Regions from separate parts of the Mus musculus genome. Here all the other regions are reported to be linked to region 3. Evidence: microRNA targets listed by miRTarBase, many of them from high-throughput screens and not tested one by one. Region 3 holds a microRNA gene; each other region holds the end of a gene's coding sequence.

The links. The annotated mature microRNA mmu-miR-10b-5p reads UACCCUGUAGAACCGAAUUUGUG and lies in region 3 at 3,333-3,355, shown strand. An mRNA with a match to its seed (bases 2 to 7 or 8) in the 3' UTR can be bound and repressed. Matches are read on the target gene's strand: a 7mer-m8 pairs with bases 2 to 8, a 7mer-A1 pairs with bases 2 to 7 and ends in A, and an 8mer does both.
Region 1: miRTarBase lists Dusp3 as a target of mmu-miR-10b-5p. Seed matches in the 3' UTR shown: 7mer-m8 at 5,510-5,516, 7mer-A1 at 4,627-4,633 and 7mer-m8 at 4,137-4,143.
Region 2: miRTarBase lists Cracr2b as a target of mmu-miR-10b-5p. Seed matches in the 3' UTR shown: 7mer-m8 at 789-795.
Region 4: the mRNA of Slc35e1 is a reported target of mmu-miR-10b-5p. Seed matches in the 3' UTR shown: 7mer-m8 at 1,218-1,224, 7mer-m8 at 2,685-2,691 and 7mer-A1 at 3,212-3,218.

The regions. Positions count from the first base shown.
Region 1 is chr11:101,968,455-101,975,569 of GRCm38, forward strand. It overlaps Dusp3 (dual specificity phosphatase 3 (vaccinia virus phosphatase VH1-related)), which reads right to left. Exons shown (of 3, transcript NM_028207.3): 3 at 2,689-6,485. The coding sequence ends at 6,280. Among named protein-coding and RNA genes, the nearest start is that of Sost, 5.0 kb to the left of the region's middle.
Region 2 is chr7:141,465,634-141,472,748 of GRCm38, forward strand. Cracr2b (calcium release activated channel regulator 2B) reads left to right here. Exons shown (of 10, transcript NM_001025103.2): 8 at 1-52; 9 at 133-204; 10 at 413-969. The coding sequence ends at 590. It overlaps Cd151 (CD151 antigen), which reads left to right and starts at 1,729. Exons shown (of 8, transcript NM_001111049.1): 1 at 1,729-1,833; 2 at 2,786-2,913; 3 at 3,622-3,712; 4 at 3,833-4,024; 5 at 4,304-4,378; 6 at 4,488-4,592; 7 at 4,677-4,835; 8 at 4,918-5,848. The coding sequence starts at 3,629. The coding sequence ends at 5,064. It overlaps Polr2l (polymerase (RNA) II (DNA directed) polypeptide L), which reads right to left. Exons shown (of 2, transcript NM_025593.1): 2 at 6,227-7,115. Gm10575 (predicted gene 10575) reads right to left here and starts at 2,138. Exons shown (of 2, transcript NR_152219.1): 1 at 1,249-2,138.
Region 3 is chr2:74,722,742-74,729,856 of GRCm38, forward strand. Mir10b (microRNA 10b) reads left to right here and starts at 3,329; the gene lies at 3,329-3,396. The region is part of intron 1 of Hoxd3 (homeobox D3); the gene reads left to right. Hoxd4 (homeobox D4) reads left to right here. Exons shown (of 6, transcript NM_010469.2): 3 at 591-626; 4 at 2,722-3,237; 5 at 4,135-4,964; 6 at 5,521-6,419. The coding sequence starts at 4,538. The coding sequence ends at 5,846.
Region 4 is chr8:72,477,631-72,484,745 of GRCm38, reverse strand. Slc35e1 (solute carrier family 35, member E1) reads left to right here. Exons shown (of 6, transcript NM_177766.3): 5 at 1-85; 6 at 753-6,751. The coding sequence ends at 980. Among named protein-coding and RNA genes, the nearest start is that of Cherp, 6.0 kb to the right of the region's middle.

The DNA of each region.
Region 1 (7,115 bases), not on the chromosome of region 3:
CCCCAGCCCTGGAGGAAGACTGGGAAGGAGGCTGTGGTCCGCCTAGCCCGCTGTGGTATGCTAACTGGGTAATGAATCAGTGTCGTCCACCTGCAGAGCTTCTGCAAGGCTCTGCCACCTGCCTCGACTTGTAAGTGGCCGGTCCATCTGTGGCGATCTGCCTGGGTCCTCCTTTTCATCTTCTGTCACCCACACATCAATGCAGCTGCTCTGACAGCTTTACAAGGCAGACAGAAGTCCCCTCAGGAAGGGGACTCTGATACCTGCTTCCTAAGTCAGTTTCCTTCGGGGCAGACAAAACCAGCTGTGGCCATTGTTGGGGGTGATCTATCTCTCCTACCAGAGCTGTGAAGTTGTTAGAAGCTGGCCCTTTTGTCTGTGACCTCCAGTCTCCTTTTCCCCTGCTCTGGAATGTGGACTGTTAACCCTGTCTGGGCCAGAAAGCTTTCCTATTGCTCCAGACTTGGGAGAGGGCAGCTCCTGGGCCCGGGATTCTGTGAGCACCATAATGGTTCTCACAGCACCACCTGCTGATGGGAGATTATGCTGGCCACCTTAATGATGCGATCTGTCCTTGGAACACTTCCGCCACCTGCTGGACGTAACAGGAAAAATCAAGCGAGCAGAGAGTGGCCAGGCTCTAGATTTTGTTTATTTGTTATTTTATCTGTAATTGAAGTAGTGTCAACAAGAAAAAGGGTATACAGAGAAACTGAGCTTACCAGCCTATCTCTCTGGACCCTCCTCGGCCCATGGGTAGCCCTGCCTTTTCACAGGATGGCTCGTGGTGCCTGCCGTCGTGCCTGCCTTCTGTTTGGGGGCCTGGTTTGCTCGGTTTGGCTTTTTTTTTTTTTTTTTTTTTTAAGATTTATTTATTATATGTAAGTACACTGTAGCTGTCTTCAGACACACCAGAAGAGGGCATCATATCTCGTTACAGATGGTTGTGAGCCACCATGTGGTTGCTGGGATTTGAACTCTGGACCTTCGGAAGAGCAGTCGGGTGCTCTTACCCACTGAGCCATCTCACCAGCCCCTTGGTTTGGCTTTTGTTGTTTTCTTTTTTTCTTTTTCTTCATTTGAGGTTAAGTCAGTAATCGATGCTTTTACTCAACACAAAACCCTTATCATTTCCCAAGGTTAAGCTGCAGTCAAGCCCCAGGGTCTCAGTGGATCCCTATTGACTGCAGTTTAGATATTTCTGTCCCCCACCCCCACCCCCACCCCATGCTCTCAGCGAGGCCGCTCACTATAAACACTCTTGTGTGACATAATGGGTTTGCTGTTTGGTTTGGTTTGGGGACGACGGTCTTGCTGTACAGCCCCAGATACCTTCAAACTCGCCATCCTCTTGCTCCAGCTTTCCAAGTGCCCGTGGCTATAGGTGCACACCACCACACCTGGATAGGTTTTTTGTTTTTTAATTCTTCTTTTTTTTTAATATTTTGAGATAATTGTAATAGACAGTTCTTGAAATAATTCGGAGGGATTTTATGATCTCCCTACCCATTTCCCCTCCACAGCTCACCAAAGATGCCAGTCCAGCACCACAGCCAGGACGTGCAGTGCGCCGACGCCGACACACTCACATCCATCCTTACTTACCTAGGGCTCTCTCATGATGCCTGCGGCACGTGCTCATGCATCCGCTTCTACACGACCTTACCACGAGACTCGCCTGTCCGCCTTTGGCCCCAAGGATCTGCCCTGATGTCTTTTTTCATTATTTCTTTATTAAAGTTTTTGAAACAGGGTCTCATGCACCACAGGCTAGCTGAGGGCTAACCTTGATCACCTCCCGGAGGTGGAGATTAGAGGTAGCTGTCACCACAGCCCGTTCTTTCTGTCGCTTTTTGATGGAGTTGTCCACATGTCTCACTCACCCCAGCTCTCAGCTCACAGCAACCACTCATCTAACCTTGATTTACATCTTTTTCTTTTCAATTTAAAAAAATGTTACGCAAATGCAGCCAATGCAGCCAATACCTGGGGCCTTCTCTTTTCACCCAGCATAATTCCCTGGAGTTGTCCAGTAGTGGGTGCAATGACTGGTATTTATCCTCCTCTAGTGTCCTGCAAAGAATTTTCACTGCCCAAGTTCCCCGTGCTCCCCCTACTCATCCCTCTTCCTCCATCCCAACCCCCAGCACACCCTGAGTTCTTTTCTGTCTCTGTAAGTCTTACGTTAGCCAGAACACCATGAGATGGACTTACACAGTATGCCAGCTTTCCAGAGTCGTACCTCCAAGGGCTAGGTTTTAGGAGGTTTTTAAAGGCTTCATTTTATTTTTATGTGTGTATCTGTATGTGGGTATGTGCTAAGAGCAGATGCCCATGGAGGCCAGAGGTCCTGGATCCTCTGGACCTGGAGCCACCCAGTATAGGTTCTGGGAACTAAACTCAGGTCCTACCCAAGAGCAGTGTGCACTCTTAGCTGGAACCCTCTCTCCAGCCCCTAGGTGATTATTTTTAAATGTTAGAAAAATGCTGTACTGGTGTGGTGGCATGTGCTTTTAGTCCTAGCACTTGGAGGCAGGGACAGGGGCAGGGGCAGGGGCAGGGGCAGGCGATCAGAAGTTCAAGGCCAGCCTGAGATCCTACCTCAAAACTAACAACAGCACCACCACAGCAGTTATAAAGCACACATAAAAAGCCCAAACACACAAAAGGAAACACAAAACAGACGTCTTTGTAATGTAAGACATTTATTTTGGTTACAACTTTAGAGTGCGTTAACACTGGTGGTAGACTAGAGGCTAAACTTTCCTTTTCCTCCCGGATGGCAGGACCTCCCATGCCTGGCAGGTGACAGTGCTCTGCCTCACCCCACCATCCCCTGCCCTCTGAGCCTCTTCGGTCCACTGAATCACTTTTTACGGAGTTAACCTAACGCTGGCAGAGGAAAATGGAATACAAGTTAAATATCCAGCTATTCTCTCTATGCTACGATCAGGACAAAGCCTGTAAAAGAATTATGAAAAAGACAATTTCCTGTGAGAAAATCTCTTATCCTCGTATTATAAGATCAGTGCTTCTCTTGATTAAAACATTTAGCATCTTAAATACTATAAGCAACTTAAGGTGGAAAGGCACCCGCCTCAACAGTGCCCCCTGCTGGCCATGGCATTATCCACACCCACTTGGGGGTGGCGGGTGTGCTAAAGGCCAAGTGAGAATTCTTAAAATAACTTAAGAGTGCTGGAGCCCAGAAGAGCCTTAGTATGGGCCAAGAGTTCCCTCATTTGGTAAGTGTTAGTCTGTGCTCTCAAGACAATAGAACAGCAAAGAAACAGACCTACCCCTGGAAAAGGCAGGCAGACTTTAGAAGATTGAGAAGAGAAACCATTTTTATGTTTGTAATTTTTACCTGGATGTTTATAAGTCATAGAAAGTGGCTGGGTCTGAGGAAGAGGTTGGGGGGGGGGGGAACACCCTTAATTCCTATTCCACCACTTTCCATGGATAGAACACTATCCAGGATTCCCAACCCCACCCCCTACTCACGGGCAGCCACGGGGTTGGCTTTTCCACAACATCGGTATTTTACCTGAAGAATAGTAGCTAGTTTTATAAACACGAGGCAAAGCCAACCAAGAACCGTTGTACTTTCAGCCCTAATGGAAAGCCAGGAATCTCCCAAAGGCTCTTTCTTCATGTTCCCACAAAGAGGTTTCCAGTAGGTGCTAGTGACTGTCCTGTGGCTGTCCTATGGGGTGACCAACCCAGAAGAGGCAGGGGGAGGGAAACCCACCCTCAGAGTGGAGAGTTCAATGCTATGTGTCACCATGTGTTACCTAGACAAAGAGAGACTGTGTCCCAATCGACTGGGGAGCCACAATTTTCACTTCCTTCTCTGGAGATGGCTCAAAGTCATGTGCACTTGGACACTGTTGGGGGCAGATTTCAGGTCCAAGCCAAGAACAGCCTCAAGCAGCAGGCCTGAGACTGCTTCTACTTAGCTTTAACGAGCTGGCAACTCTTAATTATCTTGAACTTTTTTTTTTTTTAATGGAATCTTAGTTGGGCAGTGGTGGCATTCGTCCCAGCCCTCAAAGGCAGAGTCAGGCAGATCTCTAAGTTTGAGGCCAGCCTGGTCTACAGAGCGAGTTCCAGGACAGCCAGGGCTACACAGAGAAACCCTGTCTCAAAAACCAAAGCCCAAAATCCAAAACCTAGGATCTTGGGACCGTAGCCCTGGCTGGAGTCTCGATACGTAGACCATGCTATCCTTGACCTTTCGGCGGTCTTCCTGTCTCTGCCTCTCATGAACTGGGCCTGTAGACATTGCAATCATGCCTGGCTAGCCCAGATGTTTTTGGTTTGTGGTGTTTTGTTTTGTTTTGTTCTTTCCTCTCTTTTCCTCTCTCATAACACATGAACCAGTTCTGTCAACTCTACAGTGTTATTTTGAAATGCACATTGTATTGAGCAAGAGAGCCGCTTGGAAACTAAAGACTGAGGTACACAACTTGGCTATGGTCACTTCATTCTGGGCCAAAAAAAAAAAAAAAAAAAAAAAAAAAGGATGACCAGCCCTATGTGACCAGGGTTGCTGTGGTCACACAGAATAGGGGACAATGACCATCCAGGCTGCACAGCTCTGCTCCTGCTGTGATCAGAGGTCTTTACCCTGGGAGTGACATCCTAAGACAGGTCTGCTTCTCCTGCCTCTTGCAGCAGCTCTGGAAAAGGCATGTTCCTTACCTTAACCATGAACACTGCTGAGTCTTACACTTAAAGCTGAATTTGAAATATTCAACAAAAATCCCTGATATTTCTTTCCCTCCAAGGAAGGTTTCTCTGCAAACTCCTGTAAGACATCCTACAGGCAGGCAACCAGGCTGCTGGGATCCGGGTGCCCCACGACAACAACTCTCTCTATACACGGGGTACTCAAACAGCTCTGGTTCTCATAAAATGGGCTTTTATGAGACGCCTATGTGCCGGGTGCTGGGGTGGTGGCTGACGGCTCTGCGTGACCCCGGAGACATACAAATAATGAGAACGTGAAGTCCCAAGAGGATTATGTTCAATCTCTGGCAAATGTGCACACATACAAGGTCCAGCGAGGTTCAAAAACCACCCTTAGAAAGTTCTTTTAAAGGCTGTTTCTTTCTTTGCTCTCTCTCTCTCCATTCTCATGGTGCCGCCAAGTCTCGTTTCTGTCCAGCGAGTCAGTTTCAGGATCCTGCACAGACACCGTGGAACCAGCAGAGCCTCCCGTAAATGGCCAGGGTGAGCAGAGGGGCCTTTCATTTTCCTTCTGTCCCCAAGGGGACAGGCACCCCTTCCAACATATGCACCCGTGCACACACCCACGGACATGAGCTGCAATTGGCTAGGTTCCTCCTCCTAATTATTCTTAGAATAGCAACCAGGATGGCAAGCACTTGGCGTGATGACTTGAACTCACCAACACTATAATTCAGGATAAAATCCTTGCAATTCTCCAAATGGAGGTCCTTTGTTTGTTTGTTTGTTTGTTTGTTTGTAATAGGCTGGACTTTACACCCTGTATTCTGAAAAGGGGGAAACCCTGCCCAAGGCATCGCTCTTCTAACAAGCAAAGGAACAGAGCCATCCTCAGGGAAGGCTCTGAAGCAGCAGATATAGATCGTAAGCTCTCTGGCAAGGCACACTTTAAACATTCCAAAGAATCAAGATAGCCTCTGGGAAAAATGGATTTGCTTACCCAAGGGCCCCTATGTAGTATCTTTAATTCTAAGGAAATAATTTTAAAATGCAGCCTTTTTTTTCCTTCTTTTTGGAAATCTAGTCACTAATCTATCTCCACTCTGCTTCAGAACTTAATGTCATTCGTCTGCCTCAGCAGGGCGTGTCGGGCTGTGAGGACCAGGAACAGACATGGGGAGGTCAGGGCCTGTGTTTGCATAGTTCCTTTACCAGGCTCGTGGTTCTGGACCACACAGGAAGAACCCAGGTGGGGGAGGGGTCATGAAGAGTGCCCGTGTCCCGGGCCATGCACCCTGATAGCCCTCCCACCCTGGGTCACTGAGATGTATCTATGCCACAGACAGGGACATAAACCTGAACCTCACCTCAGGGAGAGACATAAATTACAGGAAAGGATGGCTAAGGAGCAGAACTTCTTAGGGAGCTTCTTCATGTGCTCCCTAAGGGTGGAGTGGCCCCCGAGGACCAGAGTGGGACAGATGTGGGCACGTGTCTGGTGGTGCAGGGAGTGGGTATACTGTGTTTCCTAAACATGGCTGCCAGGGCCCTCCCAGTCAGACCTCTGCAAAAGAGGCTGTGGGCACCCTAGAGTTTCACCTTGCCCTCCTTGGCTAGTCTGTCATTGAGCTGGCAGAGTTGGGCCAGGAAGCCATCGTTGGGGCCGATCTCACGATTCTGCCTCACAGTACTCAGAGCAGACTTGACGTCCATCTTCTGCCGCATCATGAGGTAGGCGATAACTAGCGTTGGGGAGCGGCTGTAGCCCTCGCGGCAATGGACAAGCACCCGGCCTGCAAGAAACAGGGGAGACGTGGTAACTGTGGAAGCCCAACTTCACTGTAACAGTCAAAGTCTTCCATACAACAAGCATATCACCATGCACCCACCCAGAATGACCAGGGACAGCAGGGTGTCAAGAGGTTCTCCACCGCGGAAAACTGGCAACAGCTACTCACGTTGAACACCTGCGCCCCCTACTGCCCAGCAATGGCATGCTGGGAATTGAACTCAGGACCTCTGGAAGGGCATTCGGTGCTCTTAACGGCTGAGCCATCTCTCCAGCCCCCTAATAAGTCTTTTTAAAAAAGAATTAATGATCTAGGTAGAGAGTAGTGAGAAGGCTCAGTGGGTAGAGGAGCCAATGTCAAGCTGATGAGTTGAACTCCAACCCCGAATCCACATGGCACTGAGAACTTTCTGTAAGTTGTTCTCTGGCAAACCGAAATAGCTCAGTTGGGAGAGCATTAGACTGAAGCTGTTCTCTGGCTTCCACGCTCATGTCCAGTCCAGTCATCCCTTCACCTGCAGCATGTGCGCTTCCCCGCCCCCATCAAAGAATTAATGATCCAGTCAGGTGTGGTAGTACACATCGTAATTCCAATACTCTAAGAGGTGGAGACAGGGAGTCACTTTGAACTGCA
Region 2 (7,115 bases), not on the chromosome of region 3:
AGCTCAGTCGACTGGAGGGCGAAGCACAGGGTCGGCAGGAGCAAACCCAAAGGTGTGGTGAAGTGCCTGTGGTGAGGGTAGAAGGGTCTGTCCCCCCAACCCACATCTGGATCACAGCCTTCCTGTCCACAGAGATGTGGTTGCTGTCTCCAGGAATATGCAGAAAGAGAAACTCAGCCTCCTAAGGCAGCTGGAGCTGCTGAGGTGGGTCAGGCCTGCCTGGGCTAATGGGAAGTGGTTTCAAGTTTCCAGATAGTATTGGCTCCTACCCATGTTGCTGGAAGTCCTTATGTCTGCCCTATAGCCTTCATGCGGCTGGCTCTGTAGTCCTCTTGACTCAGGGAAGGCATCTCCCCCATGCACTTTTTCCTCTAGATCTTAGCCTCCTCGGTCTCCTACCTCTCTTTTCTAGGGAGCTGAATCTGAGGCTTCGAGATGAGAGAGATGCCTGTGAGACCAAGCTGCTGGGCAGTAGCCACAGGAAGGCTCTAGCTATTGCCCACAAGCCCGGACCCATCTACTGCTGCTGCTGCTGTGGCTGGGCTCGGCCCCCCAGACGAGGCTCTGGCCATCTTCCTAGTGCCCGATGACCAGCCCCGAGTGACTCACTTCCCTATCCAGAGGACTGCCCCTAGGAGGGACTGGTCTTGGTGGCGGATACTTGCTAAGTGTGTGGCTCTACCCAGAAGGCATCCCATGCCTGAAGGAGCTAACCTCAGAGTAGTCAAGGCCTTCAGTCCTTCAGTCTTTATCCTGTCTTCCTTTTTTTTGGGGGGGGGGGTTTCGAGACAGGGTTTCTCTGTGTAGCCCTGGCTGTCCTGGAACTCATTCTGTAGACCAGGCTGTCCTCGAACTCAGAAATCCGCCTGCCTCTGCCTCCCGAGTGCTGGGATTAAAGGCGCGTGTGCCACCACGCCCGGCTATCCTGTCTTCCTTAATCTTTGTCTGAAGGACCAATAAAGGCCATTGTATACTGTGTACTCCTTGGCTCTTGTGTGTTTGGGAGCCACGGTGCATTTGTGGTTCATGCTTGGTATCCATGGCACAAGGTGACATGGAGGGGTTTACAGGTGCACATTAACCCCTTCGTTCCTGCAGCTGGGGGTTCCTGTGTGCTTGTGTGTGTTCTGTGATTCTGGATATTCACCAAGCCCTCACCCATTCCTCCCAGCTGAAGCTCCCAGGACTCAGGTTTCAACAGGTGTCCGCTCCCACGCTAGTCCACACGTGGAAGGTCCCGCTCCTCACCTCCGTGGTCAGCTAGCTTTCTGGTCCAGGTCCTTTATCCATCATCCTTTGGCACAGTTCCTAGCCAGACCATATGCCACCCACACTGGGCACCTCTCGCAGGGCCCTCATGTCTCTATGGAATCTTCTGGCACCCTCCACACTGTATCTGGAGTTTCCCCTCTAGCATTTCTTCAGCCGCTAGAACCTGCAGCTTTAGAGTGGTTCTCCCGGCTTAGACTAGAGAAACTGGTCTTGACCTCAGTTCTGGACCTCTGGTGGGCTAGGTGCCACCTTCCCCACCTCTTCGCTCCCCACCTGGGTTCTACCTCTGGTCTAGCTCCTCTGTCTCTGGGCGAGTTGGGGCTTTTGATGACAAACGGGGCACCTTTAAACTAACTTTACAGACCCACAGGTCTCTCTGGCGCGCGCCTTAGCACCAAACCAGTTAGGACTTGCCTGCCCAGGCCGGCCGTGGGCGGGGCTGCGCCCGGGGCGGGGTCGCGCGCAGGGCGTGTCCTCGCAGGCCCCGGGCCGAGCGTTCTCTGTACTCCGAGTGATCGCTCCTACCGTGGCTGCCGGGGCTGGTATTTCAAAGCGTGGTTGGTGAGTGCTCCGTGAAGCATAGCCGGAGGGTGTGGGGAGCAGTGTCCTGAGTTCCTCGCTCACTGGTGTTCCTAGTCTCCAAGCTGGCCTCAGGGACGCCCAGGAGGCAGAGCCTGAGGTAGGACAGGGTTGCAGACTCCTTTCCGGAAGATCGACGCCGGGGCCGGGCAGTTAGAAGGCCGGAGGGGGAGGGGTGAGGGAGAGAGCTTCTGTGGTTCTTGAGCAGGCCTGACGGTCTCTTTCGTGCAGAAACCCAGAAATTTAAAAGTCTGACCACCCTATTCATTGTCCCTGGACACCGGTTCCCTCCCCTGAGACCGCAGGTCCGCCCACTGGCACGGGGCGGGGGAGGGCGGCAGGGGCGGTGGTGACTTCATCTCTGTGACGCGGGGATTCCTCGCCCAGCCCACTTCAGTGTTTAATCGGGTCGGTGGGGCGGGTGCCGAAGGCCCAGGACAGGTCCAGGAGCTAAGTGTAGGGCGGTTGTGTCCAGGCCGCAGGAGCTATTTCTGGCTGGTCCAGGCTCTCACACCGGCACTTTCACAGAGAATTTACATCCAGTCTGCTGATTGTCTCTTGGCTTAGGTTGATGGATGTGTCTAAAAGCCCATAGATTCTGGGCTTTTAGAGCCTGGCCCCGGGGGTTTGCATTGTGGCCAGGCTTCTTTATGTCATTGCCCGCTTTCAGTGAGGCAGCATGCATTTTTGGGTCCCATCTCCAAATAGAGCTCTGAAATCTCTCCCACTTTCCAAAATGGACAGTCGATGCATCCTCCTTCAGTTTGCGGTCGCTGCTGTTTGGTGGGGGAGGGACTGTGATGGATGGGACTGGAAGGTGGGGCACTTGGAGAAGGCATTTGGTCCCTCCCTAGATCAGGCAGGTCAGCCATGTTCTTTGGCCTGCCGCCGTCCAGTAGAAAACAGCAGGCCTGCCTGTTATGCTTCCTTGCAGATCTGGTGGCTCTGAGAACCATTTTGACCACTGCTTAAGCTTCTGTAGTTGGAGTGGCAAGATCCCACCTGCTAGGTGAAGGGCAGAGAGTGACTTTTGACCTGTACCTGCTGGTCCTGACTTGAGAGGTGAGAGCTGGTGCCTGGGCAGAGCCTCAAGGCCCCTGGCTAACAGTTCTGCTTAGGTGTGTGTCTGGGAATCTGACCTGCGTCAGCCGAGGTCTGTACACTGTCCTCAGTCAGACAATAGTGTGTCTAGGGCAGGGTGTGACTAGGGGACTCCTGGAGGAGTGGCACATTCACATATGTGGAACTGGGACCTCCCCCTACAGTCGGGAGGAGAGCTGGTTGTACAGGCTCCACCTACCGGCATCTTATTGTCTCTGCCCTGGCTGGTAGTAGAGTCAGCTCAGAGTCCTCACAAACTGTCCCTTAGGGTGGCCTGAGCTCTCTGCCATATCTGGGAACGGGTATGAGTGGTAAGTACCTAGCAGCCTGATTGTGGGACTCAGGGAATGCTTGGGGGTGCCGATCAACAGGAATGTACCCTGAAGGTCTGCTGGTGCTTCCCCCCCTGTTGCCAGCAGGAGTGAGTCAGCAGATGTTGGGGGGTCCTCCATGATAACCCACCATGTGTCTGGCTGTGAGGAGGTTAGTTCAGGAAGTGACTCATAAGGTTCCTGGGAATGCTCCTCTGAGGGCAGATAGCTGGCTGAGCTCCAAACTGCAATCATCCGGGGACTGCTGGATCTCCTCCTGTCTCCGTTGGTAGATAGCTTTCTTCCTACTTGGAGGCCTGGTGCTTCAGGCCATCTGACCTCCTCCCCGTTCCTCTAGGCCCAGGATGGGTGAATTCAATGAGAAGAAGGCAACATGTGGCACAGTCTGCCTCAAGTACCTGCTCTTTACCTACAACTGCTGCTTCTGGGTGAGAAGAGCTAATTTCTCCCTGCATCCCTAGTCCCCATGTTGGAGGCCTGGCCTGGGGGGCTCAGTCCCAGCTTCCAGACCCAGGCCAGATGTGGTGACCAGTATATACTTTCTGCAGCTGGCCGGCCTGGCTGTCATGGCAGTGGGCATCTGGACACTGGCCCTCAAGAGTGACTACATTAGTCTGCTGGCCTCAAGCACTTACCTAGCCACGGCCTACATCTTAGTGGTGGCTGGTGTTGTTGTCATGGTGACTGGAGTCCTGGGCTGCTGTGCCACTTTCAAGGAGCGACGGAACCTGTTACGCTTGGTCAGTGGGGCATGGTGGCACACGGTGGGGCTAGGGGTGCCTTGCATGGATTTCTCAGGGGGCCTCTGGTACTGGTTCTGGGGACTTAACTGGTTGAGTGTATTACTGCAGGCTGTCCCTGTTGGGGCAGACACGAGCTTCAGAACTATGAAGGAGCTAGGCAGCCCCAGAGTGTAGCTCCTAACTGAATTCCTCTTGCTTGGCCTCCTGGGTTGGGGGCTTGGCTTTGTGGTACTCTGGCACTAGCAACCCCCCACTTACTGGGTCCCTGCTCCCTAGTACTTCATCCTGCTCCTCATCATCTTCCTCCTGGAGATCATTGCTGGCATCCTGGCCTATGTCTATTATCAGCAGGTAAGGGCCTGGACAGGCCATGGGGTGTGCCTAGAACATGGCCCTGTCAGTCCCATTGGAGGTCCTGGCTCCAGCTTTGCCTTTGCCCAGAGTTTGATCCTACCCACAGCTGAACACAGAGCTCAAGGAGAATCTGAAGGACACCATGGTCAAGAGATACCACCAGTCAGGCCACGAGGGTGTGAGCAGCGCTGTCGACAAGCTGCAGCAAGAGGTGGGTGCCCCTAGAACTGCCCGCCCTCTCGGCATGGTGCCGTGTGCCGGCAAGCGCTGAGGCTCAGCCATGTGCCCCTTGTAGTTCCACTGTTGTGGCAGCAACAACTCTCAAGACTGGCAAGACAGCGAGTGGATCCGCTCTGGTGAGGCAGACAGCCGCGTGGTTCCTGACAGCTGCTGTAAGACTATGGTAGCTGGCTGTGGTAAGCGGGACCATGCCTCCAACATCTATAAAGTGGAGGTAGGTGGGTTCTCAGCAAGGGGCGGGGCTAGGCCGGACTGGTCTTCAGGCAGCCTGGCCCACCACCCTTCTCTCCCACTAGGGTGGCTGTATCACTAAGCTGGAGACCTTCATTCAGGAGCACCTGCGGGTCATTGGGGCGGTGGGCATTGGCATCGCCTGTGTGCAGGTCTTCGGCATGATCTTCACCTGCTGCTTGTACCGAAGCCTCAAGCTGGAACACTACTGACCACGATGATGTCAGGCCGGGCGGCCAGCCTTGCACTACTGACCACGATGATGCCAGGCTGGGCGGCCAGCCTTGCACTATGTCCCAGCCCCACTACTGAACACTACTGACTTAGACTGCTGACTGCCAGAGGTAGCTACCCTCATGCCATCGCCATGACCCCCCCTGGCATGCCACCTCAGGGGCATGCACCTTCAAGTGCCTTTCACTGCACACCAAAGTCCCAAAGCTCGAAGCAGCGTACTTGCCCCAGCATTAAGAAGGGGGGGGGGGGTGGGGGGTTCAAATGCCAGTGTTGGGCTAGGCCTGGCTAGTAGAATAGGGTTTAGATTATTTGACAGAAGTGCCTCTTATGCAGACTGCTTCCCTTTGGGTAGCTGTGATCTGCAGTAAGTCTGGGGAGAACCTGAGTACACCACTACACGTTGGGTAAAAGCAGGTGGGGCCTTTCTGGTTGGATTAGGCACCCTTCATGCCTGCTACCAGGAACTCTCAGATCTGCTTGCCCCAAACAAATGGTGTAAGCTGAGGGAAACTCCAACCCCACACTTGATGCTCTGTCCTCTCCACACAGGCCTCTTGCTCCTAACAGCTCAGCCCTGGCCTTTTCTCACTACTGATAGCATCATGTAAATGCTCCATGTTCCTGTACACTGTCTCCTTTTGGAGCATCTCTGAATGGAGCATGGCTGTTTTCATCTCACTGCTGTATTCCAGATGCTGCCCACAAATGCTCCTGCTATGTAACAGGTGCTCAATAAATGTAAATGTATAAGCACTCGAATCAGCTTGCTGACAGGACCTTATGGTCCAGGGTAGCTGGAGTACTCACAAGAGTCAAGGTTGGTGAAGCCCAATGGCAATTACAGTTAGGGTGAGCACTGGTAGCTGGAACATCCCCCCAGCCCACTGTGGCCTGGACTTGTCCATGCTCAAGGAAGAGTCTGTAGGCCTTGCTAGGGTCAGAGGGCAAGGGAGGCACCAGGGCCTGTTGGGGATGCCCTGGCTCCTGTTTCTCTGGCTTTAGCTCATCTAAGCAGCTGAGAAGAGGTCCTAAGCTGATTTTGTTCCCCACAGTCTTCTGTGCCAGCTGGAGGAGGCCACTATGGGTTCTCTGGACTCTAGCCTAAGGCAAAGCCTTTTTCTTTTTTTTTTTTTTTTAAAGATTTATTTATTAATATATGTAAGTACACTGTTGCTGTCTTCAGACACTCCAGAAGAGGATCTTGTTGCGGATGGTTGTGAGCCACCATGTGGTTGCTGGGATTTGAACTCTGGACCTTTGGAAGAGCAGTTGGGTGCTCTTACCCACTGAGCCATCTCACCAGCCCGCCTTTTTCTTTAAAACAACAAAAAACCAGGGGTGGGGTAGGGTGGGTATGCTATGCCACACACACCTTTAATCCCAGAATCCAAGAGGTAAAGGCAGGCTGACTGTTGTGAGTTTCAAACCAGCCAAAGCTGGTCTCAAAAAACAAAACAAAAAAACCCACCAAAATTCTCAAAGGGATCAATGTGCTAGAAAGAACCCGGGGTACTTGATGCAGATGCCTAGGAGCTAAAGCACTACACCACCTCCTTTGGCCTAGAGTAGGCTTCTTAGGACTACATGCTGTGGGGATTGGGTCAAGGGGCAGGGCTGCCTAGCTGTCGGGCCTGGGAAGATTCTGGAAACAAGATCCTCAGGCATGGGCAGCAGATAGGCTCACACAGCTGATGGGCTTTAGGACCCAAGAAATTCGTGAGGCCTGTGGCCTTGGGCGTACTCCTACAGTATCTGGGTTTGGTTGGGTGGCACAAGCCGTCCTTTAAACTCAACACTCGGGAGGCAGAGACTGATCTCTTTAGTTCAAGGCCAGCCTGGTCTGCAGAGTTGAATTCCAGGATAGTCAAGGCCAAACAGAGAAACCCTGTCTTGGAAAATGAAAGGTAAATAAATCTGGGTTTGATTCCCAATACCTGATGGCAGCTTATACATTCTATAACTTTACTCTCAGGGGATCTGGCCTCTGTGGGGACACAGTGATACAAAGACTTATAAGCAGACCAAA
Region 3 (7,115 bases):
TCTTTTGGGTTCTCATTTCCCCTCGGAAGGAAATGACTGTTTTGAATTGGAGACATGGAAAAAAAAAAATATGTCCCTGCCTGCCATGCCTCCTCTTTGAGGAGAATGCAGGTTTGGACGCTGGGGTGGAATTAAAAACCAACCTGAAACTGGAAAAGGAGGTCTGAACTGTTTCCAGAGGGAGCAGAATTGGGGTCGGGACAAATAGAATGTCTGCAGGCTCTCACCAGTGGGCTCGCACCCACCCTCCCACACCAGAAGGAAATGCACAAAGGCCTATTTTCTGACTTCCCATTTCCCCCCTGGGGAAACCCTGCCTCAGGCAGTCTGAGTCAGGCCGTATAACTGGTTGGGTTTTGCCCAAGGGTGCGTGAAGTAGGGTAGGTGACCAGGACAGACTCCCATAGCCCTTAGCTCTGCCTTTGAGGATGCTATCAGAGGAAAACTTTGTGCAGTACCCGAAGGCGGTCACCAGAAGCAAGGAGTTCTAGGTATTGGTGGAATGTCTGGGCCTTGTCACGTTCTGCATGTCGCCTATGGATGCTTTATTGTCCTGTGAAATTTGAGAGACCCCACTTTCATTGCAACAGGTTTTGGAGCGTCAGGGAGAACGAGGGAGAACCACTGTAAGTACCTTCCCTTTTCTTCCGAGGAACGAAAGGGTAGTGCTAAGACTGGGAGGAGGTGGGCGGAAGGTCCGCGCCAGCGGTGATGGGAGGGTTAAGGAGTAGCGGAGTGGCGCTGCCTCCCCAGGCCAAAACGGACTCGCTTCGTGGAGGGATGGAAGCTCTAGGCTGACCCTTTAGGAAGTATTTCTGGGACCTAGTTCACAGTCACCTGCTCAAGTAAACGCACCGCAGGGGACCGCCCTTGTCTTCCCGGACCTCTCTGGACCATACAGGCCTTTGCCAGGCTTCTCTGGCTCGCACAGGTGCAGCAGACTTGCAGCTAATTAGCAGCCCACCCTATCAACGAACTGAACTACGGGCGGGCCAGCATCCACAACTGCTAGAATTGACCCAATCAACACCAAGGCAACGGGGGTCCCTCTCTGCTGTCCAGCCATTATTCTCTCTGCCCAGTCTATCTCAGCCTTCTCTTGCTGTATATAGGTTTTAATTTAAAATTTGATTTATTACAGACAAAAACAAACATATAACCCTTGATGGTCTTGGGTGTGTTGGATTGGCCTGTTTCCAGGAAGGGCTACAACTTCTGAGCTTATGTAGACATTCCTCTCCTGTCCCTTTCTGGGTCCTAGCTTCACTGGTGTGGGTCCCAGTTTGGGATACCCGGTGAACAAAAAGAGTACTTTCTCTTTCCCTCCGTTTCTCCTTAGCTGCAGTTGAAGAATTTCTACTCTACTCCAGAGTCCAGTGGAATTGGGTGGGATCAGAGGCAGGGACTCCAGTTCTTTGGCTCTGAAGTTTGAAGCTGAGAATGCTGGTGACATCTTCTGGGTGTCATTAGAAGGGTTGGCACTAGAAGGAGAGTCAAGGAAATAGTAGAGGCTTGCCACTCACTGCAAACCACAGGTAGTTTAATTTTAATGGAACAGTAGCAGATTGGTAAGGACCACAGGGACCAGGCATCCTCCCTCTCTTGTGAGATGTCTTCCCTTCCTGGTCAGAGAAGCTGAGACTGGGCTCAGGGCCAGGTTTCTTTGCTGGGCCCCTGGTGAGGCTGAGCTAACAGGGAAGTGAAGACCTTTACAGCTTGTAGTTCCTTCTATGAACCAGGCCTGCACACAGTGAACCAGGCTCCATGGTGAAAAATCTGGACTCCCCAGACTTTCTCTGGCCTTGCCCCTGCCCTCTTCCTTGGCACCCTTGGCTGTGAGGGCTCATCTCTGCTGAGGCTGCTTGCTTGCTGGCGCCTTGTAGCTGCCCACAGCACAAAAAGCCGGAGAGATCAAAAGCATTTGTATGGGCAGTTGAGAGGGAGGTGAATATTTAACGCTTTTGTTCATCAATAACTTGTTGGCTTTGACCTGTCTGAACAAGTCGAGCAATAAGGTGAAATGCAGGTCACAATGTCTAACAAATATGAAAATGTGTGTACTCATCTTGGTCCTCACTCAACCCATCGGACTTCCCCAATTTGTCTGGGTAAAACAGAGGTAGGCCCAGTGTCCCCAGAAAGGCCTGTCAACGTGTCCATGGGTGAAAGGGCTGGCATTAGGAGAAACTGGGGAGAGTCTTTAAACAAACGGATTTTAACCCCCTTTTTTTTTTTTAGAACTGACACCTGGGAAATCCCTGCAAAATAGTGGAAGTGAAAGATGGTGGGAGGGCATGGAAGGGCAAAGTACAGGGTCAAAGTGAGCACCTAATTTTGCCAGATATGATGAGGGGAGTCTCCCTGCCCCACCCCATCAAAATCAAGGCATGGGGCTTGAAAGTGATTTTTCGAATTATATAGGAAGGGATCAAAACAATACTTAGAAATGTGGACATCTTCAATCTGTTATCAGGCATCCATAAGCTCGGCCCAGGCCAGGGCATCCCTCTGCCCCTGAAATCAGCCCAGCCCCAGAGTGCATCTGGGCTCTTGATGCCCTGAATTGAGGGGCAAGCCCAGGACAGCGGAGGCGCTGGGGCGGCGAAATTCGCGAACTTTTGTACTCTTCTGTGCTGCTGTCGGCAAAGCAAAAATAATGAAACTTTGTGATATGTTTGTAAATGATTTCGAATGACCCCTCGCCCTGCCCTTCACCATTAGCTCGACAGTCTCAGCCCAGGGAGGCTCGGTGGCCGCAAACAGCGCCTGCCTCCGGGTCTGCAGCAGCAGTCATAGCAGCAGCAGAAGCAGCAGCAGCGGGATCCGAAAGTCCGGCGGGGCTGAGGGCCCAGAAAGGTAAATGCTCGAATTCTAGGAGGACTAGCTGTGACCACTCACTTGGCTTAGGTTCTGGTGAAGACTATTCCTTTTGCCTTTTTCAAAACTCCCTTTCTGCTGCTGAGGGCCTTTGCTTCTTTTTGGGAAATACCACTTGATAAGGGGGCGGGAGATTTGGGTTCTGAGAAGGGGCAATTAAGCCGCCATCTCTGGGGTGAAAAAAAAACTCCCCTTCTTTTCTTTTCTTTTTTTTTTTTTTAAGAAGAAGAAGGTCCTGGCTGCTCAGCTACTTGGTGGCCCCCATCCTGGCAAGCCGATGAGGGAACTCATTGCTGTAGCGAGCAGCAATACTTAGAAATGCACCGAGCCTACCTGCACCATCTCTGAAAGCCAGGCTTGGTGAGTTCCTGGTGGCTGTGCTGAAGAGATCAGGTCTGGCAGCTGCCTGAATGTCTGCTCTGGGTAGGACCCGAGGTTGTAACGTTGTCTATATATACCCTGTAGAACCGAATTTGTGTGGTACCCACATAGTCACAGATTCGATTCTAGGGGAATATATGGTCGATGCAAAAACTTCATATATCTCCGACATGGCCAGAGACTGAGGCGCGGAGAGTACTGGCAGCCCAGCCGGCAAGCCACCTCTTTCTTTTTCATTACCTTAGACTCCAGGATGATCGACTTTGCCTGGTGAAATTGTACAGCCTTTTCCTGGAGAAACTCCTATAGATATTCCAGTAGGTGCTCAAGTGGTTGTCTGAGTGTAAAGCCAGAGAGCCAGGTTTTAGGGTATTAGAGAGTGAGGTGAAAGGCCAGAAAGCTCCAGCAGAAGCCCTGCTCTGAAGGAGCATGAGACACAAAGGTACCCAAATGGGGCTCACCTGCCCTTGTGTGGGAAGAAGACAAACTGAAAGATAGGCCATCGGAGACCGTTGGGGTACATTTAGGCAAGGTTAAGGTCCCCCTCCCCACCATCCCAATATGACCCAACCCCTCAGCCACCAGACTCAGAACTGTGAGGGCCTCCTGCAGAAAGATCCAACTTCAACTAGAAACACCCCAGCCTGCGCATTGGCAGAAAAGCATAGTGGTTACTCATTGCCTAACTCAATTCAGGTCCGCCAGATTCTGGTAACTTTTGGGTGACCCTGATGAAGACAAAGCCAAGACAGGTCTTTGTATGTCAGAGTCCAGGACTCCTGCCAGCTGGCCGGGCAGCCTGCCTGCCTGCCTAGGACTCTACCCAACTCGGAGGCCACATTGCCCACACTCATTCTTCCTTATTTTGCACCCCAGTAGGAGAATTCACTCTTCTTTGAACTATGTCCATTCTGGGGGCTGCTTCAGGCGATGGTGAGTAAGGAGGGCATGGGAGGTTAGCAAAGTCAGTGGAAGACAAAAGCCGAGATTACCTGCCGGAAATTGGGACCCCGGGGATAGAATTAGAACTCTATTAGCATCTGTCAGGGACTCTCAAATGTGGCATGGCAAGTCACTTGATTACACGTATGTTATTTAGTTAAATTTGTGAAAATTATGAGATGCTCACCAACCCGGTGATAAACATGCTTTCTTCCTATTGGCTGGCCTGGTCACATGGCCGCCCAACTTTATTCAGTTGACAGCAAGTAGGAGGGCCCAATGGAAGGAGAAAAAAGACAACACGAGAAAAATTAGTATTTTCTACCTTCTGAAATTAATGGCCATGAGTTCGTATATGGTGAACTCTAAGTACGTGGACCCCAAGTTTCCTCCGTGCGAGGAATATTTGCAGGGTGGCTACCTAGGCGAGCAGGGAGCCGACTACTACGGCAGCGGTGCACAGGGCGCCGACTTCCAGCCCTCGGGGCTCTACCCACGGCCCGACTTCGGCGAGCAACCCTTCGGAGGCGGCGGGCCCGGGCCTGGCTCAGCGCTGCCCGCGAGGGGTCACGGACAGGAGCCGAGCGGCCCGGGAAGTCATTACGGTGCCCCGGGAGAGCGGTGCCCAGCGCCCCCGCCTGCGCCCCTGCCTGGCGCTCGGGCCTGCAGCCAGCCCACCGGCCCCAAGCAGCCGCCCCCCGGGACAGCACTCAAGCAGCCCGCTGTGGTCTACCCTTGGATGAAGAAGGTGCACGTGAATTCGGGTAAGGAGTGGGGGCAGCGACCTCACAGCCCTCCCGCACCACTCCTTGCATCTTTTGGCCTGCACCCCCCACCCCAGGGGTTGCGAATGGGTAGGGGCTTGTGCAGCTTCCTTGGGCGCCGCAATTACTCTCTCCATAAATTTTTATAGCTGAGGGAGCAGGCCGGGACCATGTGGCTGGCTGCTTGGCTGTGGGCGCAAAAGGGGGTGGGGATGGGGATGGGGTGGGGGGAGGACTCCATTTCCACAGCAGAGGGAACGCAGAGCAAAACAAGGACCTTTCCAAAATGTTGGCGATACCGAGCTCTTGGTGGGCCAGTGGCAAGGGAGAACCTTTGAGGAGGACCTGTGAGCGTGGGGAGTGTGTGCATGGAAGGGCTTGGGTGGGAGTGTGTGTATGTTTAGGGAGAGGGCGGGAGGGAGGAAGCTGGCCAGCTTGGAGCACAGGGGGGGCCCGAGGGCTGCGAGACGCGCCAGGAAGTGAGGGCAGAGGCAAGCCTGGGGCCTAACTAGTGGCCGGGCTCTGACCTGGCTGTCTTGTATGTTTTGTCTCATAGTGAACCCCAACTACACCGGCGGGGAGCCCAAGCGCTCCCGGACGGCCTACACCAGACAGCAAGTCCTAGAACTGGAAAAGGAATTTCATTTTAACAGGTATCTGACCAGGCGCCGTCGGATTGAAATCGCTCACACCCTGTGTCTGTCTGAGCGCCAGATCAAGATCTGGTTCCAGAACCGGAGGATGAAGTGGAAAAAAGACCACAAACTGCCCAACACCAAGGGCAGGTCTTCTTCCTCATCTTCCTGCTCCTCTTCAGCTGCCCCGGGCCAGCATTTGCAGCCAATGGCCAAGGACCACCATACGGACCTGACGACCTTATAGAAGTGGGGACCCTGGGCCTATCCCTTCTTGCACTCCAGGTTGAGGCGAAGCTGCGGGTGCAGGCGGGGCCTGCTGTCACCTCACTGGGCTCTAAGGTACTGTGGGGGTGGACCTGGGACCTGCAGGCCGCCCTCGGACTAGGTTACCTTCCTGCCCGAGGGCAGCCCCCTCCCTAAAGTGGGGAAGGGTGGGAGGGTGGGCGGGCTTCTTTAAGTAGATTATCATATGGCAGGAGCTACTGAGAACATAAACCCTTGGCGAGTCATTAAACTCCTGAAAATCTCTGCTGGTGGATTGAATTTGCAAATGAAGGTTGGAGGCTTTACCCCAGTGGGAACCGGGATGGTCTCCTCCACACCACCCCCTTCAGGGAGCTGTGTGGCTTAGTAACTGTGGGGGAGTTGAGGCAGAAGGCCAGCCAGTGCTAGGTGCTTTCAGTGCAAGCAGGAGAGGCTGAGCCAGAATCCCAGAACTTTCTGGATTATCTATAGAATTTCTTCTGTGATTTAAAAAAAAAAAAAAAAGAAAGAAAGAAATTGTTTGCTTCCAGTGGCCCATGCCCAAAGAAATAAATCCAAGAAGGAAACGGGTTATTTTATGTTTAGTTTATATTTGCTTAAATATTTATTTGTTCGGGGAATGGACTGCAGAAAATAACCGACACCTGCGTGCCAAAAACCTTAAGATGGTGAATAGTCTTAAGCTTCAGGGAACTGGGTTAGAAAGCTGTGGACTCCTTTCTGGCCCTATTCCGGATTTTGAGCTCCTCCCTCCTAAACTACCCACCCTGGAGATGTGTGGAGGAGGCCCTTAAGCCTTCAAGAGGGAAGCTGAGGAGCCAGGAGAAGCGAGTTTTTGAAAATATGTTTCCGAATGTGCTTCTATAGCACTGTGTTTACAAGCAGTTCCGGGTGGATGAAAGAAGGGGGTTGGGGAAGAAACAAATGGTCTAATATTTTCTTCTGGGGAAAGAAAACCAAACCTGTATGCCCTGGGCCATCAGATAATGTCTGAATTTCCTACTTCAACTAGATTCCAAATGCTCCAACTATCCCCAAAAGCAGCCTTTTATAGGATTCTGTGTATGGCCAGTGTGTGTGTGTGTGTGGGGGGGGGGGTGCTGTGCAGTAGGGAGAGAGTGTGTAGGTAAGGAAGTCTTATTTTTAAAAAGAAACTAATAGACTCTAGAAGCCCACAGAAGTTGATCTTAAAGGGATTTCCCTTGAAGTCTTTTTTTTTTTTTGAAGAGACATTAATTAGAAGCAGAAA
Region 4 (7,115 bases), not on the chromosome of region 3:
CCTCATTATGCTGCGCAACCCAGTGACCAGCACCAATGTGTTGGGCATGATGACCGCCATTCTGGGTGTCTTCCTGTACAACAAGGTGAGCATTGGGTGCTACTGTCCCCTAGCAGGCACACCCTTGGGACAAGGAGCCAAGGGAAAGAGAGGGGAGGGATTTCTAGCTGTAGGTCCCAAGGGTGCCTTACAGGGTGTGTGGGTTGTACGTGCTAGACAGAAGAGTGTGGCAGTAGGCGTCTAAGCACAGGCCTTCTAGAACTCACTATCCTCCTGCCTCTACACCCTGATCTCTAGGGCAATCGGTGCAGAGGCCAGAAGCCTTCTTTGTGTCTTACTTGTTTTAGAACAGTCTTGTGTAGCCCAGAGTGGCCTTCAGCTTCTGACCCCCTGCTCCACCTCCCTTGGAGTAGAATGACAGGTGTCTGTATCTGTATCTGTATCCTGGTTTATGTAGTGCTGGAGATGGAGCCTCGAGCATATATCTTGTAGACAAGCATTCTACTACAGAAGCATCCCTAGTCCTTGGTTTTAGGGTGACCTTTTTTATGCTGATGTTCTTCCCTCCCCTCCCCTCCCGGTGACTTCTCTTCGTTTTTTTTTAAGTCTCATGTAGCCTGGGTTGGCTTCAAACTTACCATGTAGCTAGCCTTATACACCTGCCCTTCCTGACTCTGCCTCCATAGAGCTAGGATGACATGCCCCCCCATACCCAAAGTTCCCTTGTGCTTTTCATTGCTCTCTTCACACAGACCAAGTATGATGCGAATCAGCAGGCCCGGCGCCATCTTCTTCCCATCTCCACGTCAGACCTGAGCAGCAGAGAGCACTTGCGGAGCCCAGTGGAAAAGCCCCACAATGGTGCATTGTTCCCCCAGCAGGGTGACTTCCAGTACCGCAATATCCTCCTCACAGACCACTTCCAATACAGCCGCCAGGGCCACCCAAACTCCTATGCTCTCAGCCGACATGATGTATAGGCCAGGCCAGGCCTTCTGCACCCCCTTCTTGAGCTCAGAAGCTTCAGAATATTCTGGCAGCCTGACTGAGCACATGACACTTGGTGGGCCATCAGGGGAGCTCTGGGTCCTGGCCCCTGGCCCCTGATGGGCTGCAGGATGTGATCATAGCATGGACACCCACAAACTCGGGGCAGAAAAGAACCACAGAGAGACCCTGGTTTACGCCTCCACTAAGAGGCCACTCTGCATTTGTGTACAGGGTTGTCCCTGGCATATTACAGAGGTCTGATCTGAACTTCTGGTGAGAGTAGGGACATGCTCTACAGAACTGGCACCTCCTGGCTGCAATCCTGGAAGCCAACAGGAGATGGCATCTGGGATATCATGGAGAGGACAGCTGGGATACAGCCCAGAAGGATGGAGGGCTGACATGGGTGGCATTACCTGATCCCACCAATGATACAGAGCCCTAGAATACCCCAAGGCAGTTGGCCACTTGCAGCTAGTGCTGCCCAAGGGCAGACTTATAGTGACCATCAGCCCATCAGCTGTGACCTTCCTCTGCCTTGTGGGTGCCAAAGCAGGGCCTGGGGGGCCCTTGGACTCTAGAGGAGCAGCTTGTCTGCTCCCCACTCTCCTGATGGCACAGAAGGCCAAGGAGTGGTGATGACAGTTTCCTCAGAACCTAAGTTTCTCTGGGGAACATCTTGTCGGCCATGGGATGGAAACCATCTTGTCTCATTTCAAAATATGGGATGTTTGTTGCTGGAGCCAGTCCCTCCCAGGTCAGTGGTAGCAGGCAATGCCGAAGGGTACTGAAGTTGCAGCCACAGAGGTAGAAGGAGGTATTCATACCCGAGTACAGTGTTGCTTGTCAGTGAGGAGACCGCATGTGTATCAGGGTTTTAACTGTGCTCTGGCAAATGGGACACCAGGCAGGTCTTGGTTTTTTAGTTAAGAATCACTTTGAGGCTGGGTAGAGTGCCTGTCTAGCATTCGTGCAGCCTTAGATTCTGTCCACAGAATGCCACGCAGTGGTACAGGCCTGCCTGCCTTCCTAGCACTCTTAAAGCAGATTCAGGAGGATCTAGAGGACAAGGTTCTCTACAAAGTAAGTTCCAGACCAGCCTGGGCTTCAATGAGAAGCTGCCTCAGGAAAATGATCAGTTTAGGGACCTGCCATAGTGGCATATATCGAGGGGCTGAGGCAGGAAGATGGCCATGGGTTTAAAGTCAGTCTGGGTTACATAATGAGACTCTCTCTGAAAAAGTTGAGGGGCTGGTGGCCCATACCTATGGTCTTAGGTACTCTTGAAGCAGAAGCAAGAGACTTCCCCAAGCCTGTGAGCTCAATGCCATTGTGGCAATTGACAGCAGGTAAATGATAGGAAGGGGTATCAATGGGTCTCAGGGTTTTTTGGTTTTGAGAGAGGGTCTTATAATATAGACCAGGCTGACCTTGAACTCATGGGATATATCTGTCTCTGCCTCCTGAGTGCTTGGATTCTTTAAAACCATGGGCACCACATCCAGATGGAGTCATCCCACTAAGCCTCCCAGGCTGACCTTAGCATTTGTGCCTCCTCTGTTGCTAAGAACTGAGCTCACAGGTACATCATGGCACCCCAGTCCTTAACTCCTGATTTGTTGGGTCCCTCTGCTTTTGATTACTTGGGGTTTTATATTGAAGGTTAGGGTTTTTTGTTTGTTTTGTTTTTCGAGACAGGGTTTCTCTGTGTAGCTAGCCCTGGCTGTCCTGGAACTCACTCTGTAGACCAGGCTGGCCTCGAACTCAGAAATCCGCCTGCCTCTGCCTCCCGAGCACTGGGATTAAAGGCGTGCGCCACCACTGCCCGGTTTATCATATTAGTCTCCTGCTTGCCTGAGACTTGGCACCCCCGGCCTCAGGACAGTCCCGTCTGCCTTGCCTAGTCCTAGCTGGTTTGCAGAAGAAGTCCCTTGGTAAGGCCGTCTGTTGGGTTCTCCTCACTGGGGAAGGCTGGCCTGAGACACCTGTCACTGCAGAGGTCTCTATGGGTGACCCTGACTCAGCTCTGGACTCAGAATGAATTATGTCTTTTAAGATTACCAAGATGTTCCTATAATTTGTGTATTAATGCATTTTTCCTTTTTCAGGGAGCAAAATGGCCCGTCTCACTTTTCTTAACGGTTTATAAATTAATAAATGGGATATTTAGTTCTGTTCATAGGCTCACAGCAAGTATGAACACTGGAATGGATGAGACAATCAGGGTAGACCAGATTCTCGGATCAAAAGACAAACAGCTGGGGCTGCCGCTCTGGCTACAGTGCTTACCTGCATGCATGAAGTCCTGGCCACCCTCAGCACTGCATACACGAATGTTACTCCATTACTCAGGAGGCTGAGGCAGTTAGGATCAGGAGTTCAGTGTAACATAGTGAATTGGAAGCCAGCCTGGGCTATATGAGAGCAACAACAAAACAGACTTGATCCACAGTTTACATCTGTCCATTCAAAGTCACATTAGCCCTACTCCTGTGTCTTACATCCCACTACATTCACCTCTCCCTCTCCAGGACTGACCCGATCCACCTCTGTTGGGGTTTATTTGAGAATTTATGTTGCTGTTCCCACGTACCCTTTGAAATTGCTTAGCCAAAACGCTGATCCTGACCTACCCAGCTCCTTCATTTTACAGAAGAAGAAAATGAGGCTTAGTGGATGTCTTCTCACTATTAGTGCACTTGGAGCTTTTATTTATTTCTTTGAGATAGTATCTGCCTATTTAGACCAGGCTGACCACAGAATAGAAGGCACTCCTCCAGCCTTAGCCTCCGTGCCTGGAGGAGCTGCCATACCCAGCACCTTAATTTATGTCATTTATTCTAGGGAAACCCAAAACTTTCTTGACAGAGTAGAGGAGCCAGATGAACTAAGGCAGCAAAATACATGGAACTTGATTTCTCTGTATGTTGGGAGGACTCCAAGCAGTGAGCTCTTCATGGCTAGACCCCAGCCCCAAAACCTTGGGTCTGAAACAGGAAACCTGTCATGCTCTTGCTTTCCATTGTCATCTTGAGGCTCCTGTGTCATAGACTGTACTATGGGAGTAGCTGTGCTCCTGGTTGGCATTTACCAAAAATAAATGGTGGTCTCCAGGGGTTGGAGTTTGGTTCTGGTTTGTCAGGGAGGGTCTTGCTCTGTGCTCCCATCAGGACAACCCACAAAAATCCAGGGCTGGGAAGATGGCTTGGTCAGCCTTTGACTGGCAGATATGGAAATCAAGAGTTGGGATCTCTACAACCCCCAAAAGCTGGGCAGATCCAGCTCCACCTGCCATCCTAGTGGGAGAGTCAGGTAAAGGTTCCAGGATCATGGGCAAGAGCTTACTATTGGCCAGGTTCATCCTGAAACCATGCCTTATGTATAAGGTGGAGGGCCAGCAAGATAGCTAAGTAGGTAAAGGCAATTACTGCTGAGCCTCAAAATGTGAGTTCAATTTCTAGAACCCACATGGTAGGAGAGAACCAACTCCTGTAAGTTGTCCTCTGACCTCCACATTTGTGTTGTGGCATGCACACACCCACACAAAAAATTTTAAGTGTGCTAGGCACAGCCTTGCACACCTTTGGTCCCAGCACTCAGAAGGCAGAAGCAAGTGGATCTCAGAGTTTGAGGATATATATATAGAGAGAGAGAGTGAGAGAAGCACCTACACACAAACAAGCACAAGTGTCTACACACACAAATCACATGTGTATGCAAGGCAAAAAGATTGTTTTTGTCTTTTTTTTTCATGCCTGGGTGTCTAACGAACTTTGAGTGTATTTGCATGCGAGTGTGTGCTTTCATGTGTGTATACATGTGCATAAGTGTATGTTTGTGTATAAATTTACTGTTGCTGTGGCTCCTATAGCACCTCTATGGCTTCAGCTACCTTATGCTGCACCAGGATTCTGTTCCTGCAAGAGTCCAGGTCCAGCTACACTCCTAAAGGCCAGTCAGAGCACCCATTTCTATAGCTAACCTCTGCAGCCCAGACTGACCTCTATTGATCCTCCGCCTCAGGCTGAGGTGCAAATTTCCTCCTGTATACTTGGAGGCTGGGCCAGTGAGCCCCATGGCTCCTCCTCCTCCTCCCTCCCCAGCTCTGGCATGAATATGCTTCACTACCCCTGGCTTTTTATGTCTTCATGCCTTTGTAGCAAGCACTTGACCTCTATAAGTAGCTGGGCAACAACAGGCACCTGTACATGGATGTGGAGGCAAGAGGCTAGCCTCATGTCCTTGTGTGCCAATAGGTCTGCCATCTTACTTTTTGAAGCAGGGTCACTCACTGAACCTGGAGCCCCAGTCATCCTCCACTCTCATCTCCCACAGCACAGATATGACAGTCCTATCCAGTTCTGGCTTGGGGGGGGGGGGGTAGAATCCAACTCTTAGCCACTCAGCCCAGCCTAACAACCCTTTTCATTTTTTTTAAGGTTTATTTATGTATGCCAGTACATTGTAGCTGTACAGATGGTTGTGAGCCTTCATGTGGTTGTTGGGAATTGAACTTTAGGACCTCTGCTCGTTCTGGTCAACCCTGCTTGCTCAATCTCTGCTTGCTCTGGTCCAAAGATTTATTTTATTATACATAAGTACACCATACCTGACTTCAGATGTAGCAGAAGAGGGCATCAGATCTCATTACACTCGGTTGTGAGCCAATGTGGTTGCTGGGATTTGAACCCGGGACCTTTGGGAGAGCAGTGAGTGCTCTTACCCACTGAGCCATCTTGCCAGCCCCAGCCCTTTTCTTTCTTTCTTTCTTTCTTTCTTTTTTTTCTTTCTTTTGTTCTTTTCACTCACTTTGTAGACCAGGCTGGCCTCAAACTCAGAAATCCGCCTGCCTCTGCCTCCGGAGTGCTAGGATTAAAGGCGTGCCACCACGCCTGGCTGCCCTTTTCATTTTTAACCATTTATTTATTGTATGGGACGCGGGGAAGGTTACACATCCTATGGTGCATGTAGAGGTCAGAAGGCTACTTATAAAAGCGAGTTCTCCCACTAAGTCCCAGGTCACCACGCTTAGTAGCAAGTACCTTTACCCACTAGGCAATCTTGCTGTGTTAAGACAGGCCTCAAGGAGCTCAGGCTAGCTTTGAATTCACTGTGTATCTTCTGTCTCTGATACTGGTGTTGGCCACTGAACTGGAGCCATGCCCTTCAGTTCTAGGAGTTATGTGGCTGGCTGTCAAAACAGCAGGAGACCCTGGACCTCACACATGGTAGGGAAGCACTTCCAGCCCTGTATTTCTGGCTGCTTAGGTTTCCTCTGTATTTTGGAGGATTCTGTGAGCAGTCAGGGAAGCTACCACAGTGAAGGGACCAAATGCAAAGCTTTGGTCTCAGCCTCAGTGTATGATTCATTCAGACTCCCAAAGGGGCTCAGTAGGTAGGCAAGAGCCAGCTGAGGAACACTGCCAAGGGGCTTGAGGGGCACCTTACCTAGGCAGGATCTAGTTGCCCAGCCTTATTAGGGAGGTGGCAAGAGATGGGGCCAGGTGTGGGAGGGGGTGTACCTTTAACCCCAGTGCTGGGGAGGCAGAGGCAAGCAGGAGCACCTCCCTCAACAAATAAAACAGAAGAAACTTCTAAGAATAGTCACCCTCTGAATGTTCTACTGGCCCTCTCATTTTGTTTTGGTCTTTTTGAGACATGGTTTCTCTGTGTAATAGCCCTGGCTGTTCTAGCTTTGTAGACCAGGCTGGCCTTGCCTGCCCTGCCTTAGTGCAAGAATTAAAAGTGCGTGCCACCACCACCTGGCTCTCCTATTGCTTTTTAATTTTGTGTTTTGACTCATGTTATTAAGTTACCAGATGCCCTGGAATTGGAACTGCATTTGTAGGCTACGAATGTAGGTGCTTGGAATCAAACTAGGGTCTTCTAGAATAGCCAGTGTTCTTAACAGTTGAGCCATCTCCCCAGAACCCCTCTCTCACTTCCATTGCTTTAAACCAGGATACTTGGGTGTCCCTACTGAGGGACTGAGAGGTGCCGTTGGAATTCGTCAAAAGACCCTCACTCACAAAGACCACAGAGACTGCCATCGCTGCAAACCGCATGAGGATTTTTATTGATCCAACATGTTGGGGACCCCCGCCCCCTTCTCAGCACGTAGGCCA